2 linked regions of the Macaca fascicularis genome follow. The protein of the gene in region 1 purifies or fractionates together with the protein of each later gene. This does not show direct contact. Links are inferred from orthologs where the notes say so. Each region holds a gene or a part of one and is shown on either strand. Other genes may lie near its edges.

Region 1 (3,751 bases):
TGCAGGCCACAGATGACATTTAAAATTCTGTAGGACCCACACTAAAAAATAAATAAAACTGATATTTTTATATATTTTGATATATTGATCTCAATATATCAAAAAACGTTTATCACTTCAACATGTAACAATTTTTTGAACATTATTTGGTAAAGAACGCATACACCTCGATTCGGACTAGCCATACTTTAAGTGCTCAGGAGCCATGCGGGGCTGGTGGCCCCAAACTGAACAGCACAGCCCAGGCAGCACCGGCGCAGAGTAGGTTCTGCTCACGCCCATGGGCTGAAAGCAACACGGTTGCAGTTGCTGTGAGCACACCTCACCTGGAGCAAACCGGCCTATCAGGGAGTCCACCGAACAGATGTCTACATTTGGGGATAAATTAAGACAATGTTCTTTAAGCCAGTCACTTATGTAACTCCCACCGATATTTTAACTCCTAGCTACGAGATGTGGTGGGTGGTTCCGACCTATGCAAATGATCAGTGTACATACAGAGGGCCACCGTCTATTTCTCATTATCTGGGGATCCCAGTTGGGGTGGGGGGGCGGAAGTGGGTGTTTGTTATTTCCCCAAATGCGAAGGCCCCTGCACCACTAACGCGGGGAAACGCAGGCGAGTGGGAAGGTACTTTAAAAAGGGGAGGGAGGTGCTCAGAGAGAAGCTAGGCTCTCTGGGGAACAATTACGGCCACGTTACGGTCTGTAGGTGCCAGAAGGGGCAACAATGGAGGCAGTCGAATTCCGAGAGCTGAGATAGTCAGCCAAACTTAGCCGGCCTCGGCCCGCGGGTTACCGAGGGCCCCAAAGACTCCAGGCCACTAGGGTCCAGTCTCGGCACTGGGCCGCAAACACCGCCTCGGCCTCGGCGCGCACACCCGCTGTCTCCCTGCTCCTGAATGGCTGGGGGGCCGGGATTAACCTTTCACCGCTGGGCCCTGTCCAATCACAGGCTCGCTCTCATGCCGCCACGGGGCGAGCGGAGCGTGGGGGCGCGGAGGGGCGGCGCGGGCGCCAGTGGGATTCTCCAAGCGGCTGTGCGCCGTTGCCGCGGGCCGTGCGCAGGCTGCGGGCCAGCCGGGCGCTGCGCAGTCTCCGCAGGGGCCGGCGGGAGGGGTCGAGGCGGAGGCGCGGCGCAGGCTGCTGCAGGCCCAGGTGAATGGAGTAACCTGACAGCGGGGACGAGGCAACGGCTAGCGCGAGGAAATGGCGGCGGGGGCGGCGGCGCCGGGCGGCTCCGGGAGGCCTGGGCTGTGACGCGCGCGCCGGAGCGGGGTCCGATGGTTCTCGAAGGCCCGCGGCGCCCCGTGCTGCAGGTGAGGCGGGCTCCCGCGGAGCAGCTTTGTGTCCGGGGCCGGGAGCGGCAAGCCCAGCCGCGCTCCCGCCTCCGCGCTGAGGCCCGCGTGCCGGCCATGGGCCCGGGCCGCGCGTCCGGGCCTGGCGGGTGCTGGTGGAGGGCGCGGCCTCGCTTGCCTCGTCGTCCCGCGCAGCGCGGCCTGTGGACCCGGTGTCTGCCCACCCCGGCGCCTCAGCGCGAGGCAGCCCTGGGAGACTCTCCGGACCTCCGTGGCGTGGTGGGGGACGCCGGCGCCTGCCCACTCCCCGGCCTGGCGAGGCCAGGGGGTTCTTGACAGGTCCCGTCACGCGCGCGAAAGTGGCGCAGGAACAGCGGAGGTGGAGACGCGCCCTGCCAGCCGGAGCACCCTGGGGCCCTCCTGTGATGGGGCCGCTGCGCCGCGCTCGGAGGGGACGAAGTCGGGCTCTAGGTCCCTCCCGGGAGGGTCCTGTGTGATTACTGTCAGGGGACCAGATCGGAGCCCGGGGGGGCGGGCGGGGCCGAGGCCATTCTTTTTCCTCTCCCCTCAGATGTTTTTGTGCCAACATGCCCAGACCCTGCGGAGGAGCCTTTCTTCAGGGTTTTTGATTTTGGGGAAATCAGAGTATGTTTTAAGTTAGCACATCAGATTTATGTAGATTGTCCAGAAAAGCTGAGTCGCCCTGATGGCTCTGCCTGGAGGTCAGAGCTAGCAAACCACTGAGTGTGTCCTTAGAATCCTGAAGATCTGCGGAAACGTGGAGATGAGTGGAGGGTCCTTGGTGTGTAGTGTTCACTCAGTGCTTTTGTGGAGAGAGTTGTGGTTAAAGGGACACGTTACTGGTCTACACGATAAGTAAGTGTTCTTAGGACTTTCAGATTTTAAAAACATTCATCTGATGAACGAGGATCACTTGGACGTCTATGCTTCTGTCTTCGAATATTCTGAATCTTTACAATCCTGATTGTCAGGTGTCTTCGTGGTGCTTGTCTTGAGTCAGTGGAAAAGGACTCAGGTTAGGAGTTAAGTAACTCGGAAAATATTGTTAAAAATGTGCTTTTAAAACAGGTTAGCTATGTTGAAAATGTATTGGTGTAAGCGTTAAGTTTTCTAAATAAAAATATACATCCTTACCAAAAAACTCAGTTTACTAAAAGATGGGTTCGGGATAAGCCAGGTCCTAAAGAATAGTAATTTTCGATATTATTGATATCTTTGGGAATTAGGTTCTGGAATAGCCGGTTTATTTTGCAAAGTCTACTTTAAGGCTACCTGTGGCACGTGTGTATTATATGTAATATGTGCTATATACATTCAAAACTTCATTTTAGGGCATATTCCATAAAACTCAATAGATTAAAAAAACAAAAAACTAAAGATTGCTTTTAACATGGTCACTGTAAACATTGATCATGGTAACATATGTTTATAGATTTACTCATGGCACCAAAATGCTGTTTTAAGAAAAGAACAGTTAGTCCATTTTTATGTGGGGAGAAAAGACATTTTCCTACAATCCTTTTTAGTGAGGGCCTGCTTTACTTTTTGTGCTTCCATCTCATGTTTGAAGGGTGAGCCCTGACTGCTGTATTTTGCCGGTGGCTCAGTGTGTGAGTTGGGTAACAGGGTGGTTTTGCTATTATTGAGCTTTATTGTCTTGGTTTTAGAAGACATTTTCTTTTGATGTGGCTCATGATTCTTATTTGACGGTGATTTTGTGGTGTCACATAGTGGGTTGTACAGTACTTGTAGTGCTACCTTCTATAGAGGGTGACTTGTGGCGTTGCGATGTTTTATTCTCTACCACTATCTGACATGTGAGGAGCTTGTTTCATTTGAGAAGGTAGGTATTTCGTAGACATTCTCTCACTTGCGACCCTACCATGTCGTGGTCACATTTCCACTTGCTCATGGCAAAGGAGATAAGGGAAACATGTTATTGAGTGCTTCCTTGTTATGTGCCAAGATGTTTCAGGTTCTACATACATTCTCTTCTAATCCTTACTGTGACCCTGCGATCAACTCAATATTGCCCTTGTTTTACAGGCGAGGAAACTAAAAGTCCCTGATTATTACTCCAAGTTAGGAATTTCGAAGTGGCAGAGCCGAGATCGAATCCTGGTTTGGTTTCAGAATCTTTGCAGGCACGCTCTTTGTATTGCATTACTGTTCCGAGTGGATTTCAGGGCTGCATCGCGTGTAGTGACTCCTCAGTTAAGACTTGCAGAATGAATGAAGCTGTGTCTAGCCTTAAATGTTCAGGTGAATGAATGGTTATTTGAATATTTCAGATAGTTGTTCTTTTTTTTATTTGGCATGGTAAAATATACATAACGTTGAACCATTTTAAGTGTACAGCTAGCTGGCATACAGTACATTCACATTGTTTTTAGTCATTACCAGCATCCATCTCCATACTTTTTCGTCTTTCC
Region 2 (3,651 bases), on another chromosome or scaffold:
GCCTGGCATCTAGTAGGCATTCAGTAAATATTTGTTGAATGCACTAATCATTTCTCTCCCCGCCCATAGCTGAGGTGAAACGTGTTGGAGATACACTCTTGGGAATGGCTACACAGTGTGTGCAGGTGAAGAATGTGGTCAAGACCTCACCTCAGACTCTGTCCAACCTCTGCCTCAAGATCAATGTCAAACTTGGTGGCATTAACAACATCCTAGTCCCACACCAGCGGTATGAACTCTGTTGTCCACTTGCCCTTTTCAAGGTACCATGCTGGGAATTGATGAAGAGATAGGACCCTGGCCAGGCAGAGTGAATCAGACACAAGGGGGAGAAGAGCAGAGTGGGTATTGGATGGTGCCAGCTAGAGAAGACCCAACGCCTCACCATTTTGTTTTCTCTTCCTTGCTCAGCTCTGCCGTTTTTCAACAGCCAGTGATATTCCTGGGAGCAGATGTTACACACCCCCCAGCAGGGGATGGGAAAAAACCTTCTATCACAGCAGTGAGTGATATTCTCCAGCTGCCTCATAAAGTTCTCCTCTTCACTCTGAGTCCTCAAAACTGCCCATGATTTCCTTCCCTCAGCTCTGGCTCTTGACCCTTCATAAGATCTCCATTTAGCTCGCTATTCCCAATTCCCATTCCCTTGATATGTCATAAAGGTAGCTCTGTATGGTGTCTTTTTTCAGGGAGAGTAGTGAGAGTGTAGCCAGAGACTTGACTCATTCTGCATCACTCTTGCTCTGCATTTGAATGTCTGTCTCCCCATGCCTGCTTTTGGCATGTAGGAGAGGGACTGTATCTTCTCTGAAATCCCTTTAAAGGGAGTTACTTAGTTGATGGGACTATCCTTTCCTCTGCCCATCCTCACTGTGTAATAGATTAGATATTTTTCCTATCTCTCTCCTGACTTTTCTGCTCTTTGTCTCCTAGGGGCTTCCAAATTGCTAGGGATCAGACTTCCTTTCCCACTTGTGTTTCCTAAACCCTCACATTTCTGTAGGCACACTGGTCTTAACCTCAGTAAGTGCAGGGAAACCCTATAATACGCTTATCCCTGTTTTTCTTGTGGCCATCCCTCCTAGGCTTTGGCCACTGTCTCCTTTCTAAATGGCGTTTCTTCCATCAACCACAAGAACACTGTTACTATGGTCATGATTCCTGGGTAGATTAGCATTTGAATGGGAAAAAGGATAAACTTGGGACTGGAAGAGGCCATTGTTTGATCTAGTAGTACTAAACCTTCACACGCTCCTCTGCAAAGGGTAGAGAAATCAATTTATCAAGTACCTACTGTGGGCTAGGCCCTGTGTAAGGTGCTTAATATGGACTGCAGTAGCACTGCAAGCAGGTGTTCTTATCAACATCTGAGAAGGGGAAAAAGGATCAGAGAGATTGAGTAACTTCTGCTTGTGTGATAGAATAGAGATTGAAACCAGGGCTCTTTGAATCCCAAGCCCTACTCATTCAGTTGCAGTTTTCTTGCTAAGAAGCCTTTCCACAAACCCATAGCCTGACAGTGAGGGTGAAGGTTCTAGGAGCTAATCCTTTTTCTCTGACTGTCAGGTGGTAGGCAGTATGGATGCCCACCCCAGCCGATACTGTGCTACTGTGCGGGTACAGCGACCACGCCAAGAGATCATTGAAGACTTGTCCTACATGGTGCGTGAGCTCCTCATCCAGTTCTACAAGTCCACCCGCTTCAAGCCTACCCGCATCATCTTCTACCGAGATGGGGTCCCTGAAGGCCAGCTACCCCAGGTAGGGCCCACAGTAGGTGGAGAAAACCTTCACATCATGGCTGGAAAGCTAGGTGCTACTACCTTTTCTAAGCTATTGGCACTGGGAGGTGTGTCACTTCTTCGGGAACTTTGCTAAATGGGGTAGACTTGGGGGCAAGGATGGCAACTGAGGGATGGAGTATACAAGCATCTGTAGATTTTTCTTCTCATAATAGAAGACTCTCAGTGCCTATTTAAGTAGTTGGTTCCTGTTGGAGACTGATTGTTTAGACCAGTGATTCTCAAATGCTAACTTACATTAAGATCACCTGGAGGGCTTGTTAAAACAGTTTTAAGGGCTCTACCCTTAGAGTTTCTGATTCAATGAGTCTTGGATGAGGGCCAAGAATTTACAATACTGACAAGTTCTTAGGCGATGCTGATAGTCTGGAGATTGCATTTGAGGACTAATGCTGTTTTGACCTTCCTTCATAATACTCCTCCTATTCATTCTCACTGCCAGTCTTCATTTTTTTTTTTTTAACTTCTATCCTGAACTGGTATCCTTGACTACCGTTTAATAGTATTATAATTACTGTTCCAGTGAACTTCTTGTGTGCCATGAACTGTGCTAAGCACTTCACGTTTTTTGTGTGTGTGTGTGTGTGTGTTTTTTCCTAAATCTGAGAGGAAACATGTTTTATTTAATGCTTTACAATAGTCCTATGGAATAATAGTGTATTTACATTTAACAGATGAGAAAACAGGCTTGGAAATGTTACATGATTCTTTAATGTCATCAAAGCTAATTAGGAGTGGAACTGGGATTCATACACATTGGTCTGATTCCATAGTTTATGCTCTTAACTGTTAGGCCCAGTTTCTATTTTTCTTTTTTCTTTTTTTCTTTTTTGGCGGGGACAGAGTCTCACTCTTGCCCAGGGTGGAGTGCAGTGGTATGATCTCAGCTCACTGCAGCCTCTGCCTCCTAGGCTGAAGTGATTCTCTTTTCTCAGCCTCCCAAGTAGCTGGGGCTACAGCTATGAGTCATCACATCCAGCTTATTTTTGTATTTTTAGTAGAGCTGGAGTTTCACCATGTTGGCCAGGCTGGTCTCAAACTCCTGACCTCAAATGATCCACCCGCCTTGGCCTCCCAAAGTGCTGGAAATACAGGCGTGAGCCACGGTGCCTGGCCATTATGCCCAATTTCTAAGTCATCCAGTATTTTCTAAAATATCAGACACATTTATCATATCACATATCTGTTCAGAAATGTCTAGTGGCTTCACATAGCTTTGGGTTAAAATTCAAACTGCTTAGTAAAGCAATCAGCAGTTATTAAGCCCTACTAGGTTTTCTGTGCTTTTACTTAATTGTCTATCTTAGTCTTCATAACAGCTTTGTGAAGCAGGTCTTAGTAACATTAACAGATGTGGAGAAAATGAGACTTAGTGGAGTTTAATAACTTGCCCAATGTAATACAACTAGTTAAAGCTTAAATTTACGTCTAATTGATTCCAAAGTCTATCGTTCTGTACCATACAGTTTTGACCCTCTATATCTGACATCCATGGCCATAGGAAACTATTGCCTATGATTATTTACTTCTAGCTTTTCCTTTAGCTAGCCCATTTTCTAATAATCCTGCTTGCTTTGTAGGACTGAATTCACCTACTCTCTCTGCACCCATTATGGAGCTATATGTCTGCTCTTCTCTGGTGGTCCACAACCTGTCTGCTCTTGGAGCCCAAAAGAGAACTCTCATTAGCTGCCTGATCCTGAGTGAAACTAACTTTGGGCATTGTAATTTTAGTGATTTCTCTGTGAACCTTGGTTCTGTGTCTTGATATTAGGTCTCTTTATACACAAGAACCAGATGTTTGTTGTCTTCTGATGCCAAGGCTCCTGGCCAAGGTTTTATAGGAACA

Evidence for each region.
Region 2: the proteins of DICER1 (region 1) and protein argonaute-1 purify together in Homo sapiens (co-immunoprecipitation; 7 studies listed by BioGRID and IntAct, with this or other methods). This does not show direct contact. The link is inferred for Macaca fascicularis from reciprocal best matches to the Homo sapiens genes DICER1 and AGO1.

What each region holds. Positions count from the first base shown.
Region 1 is NC_088381.1:163,206,164-163,209,914, reverse strand, and holds the start of DICER1 (endoribonuclease Dicer), read left to right. Parts: upstream 1-1,019; 5' UTR 1,020-1,319; intron 1,320-3,751. UniProt on the Homo sapiens protein: Double-stranded RNA (dsRNA) endoribonuclease playing a central role in short dsRNA-mediated post-transcriptional gene silencing.
Region 2 is NC_088375.1:199,025,223-199,028,873, reverse strand, and holds part of protein argonaute-1, read left to right. Parts: intron 1-69; coding exon 70-229; intron 230-411; coding exon 412-502; intron 503-1,566; coding exon 1,567-1,761; intron 1,762-3,651.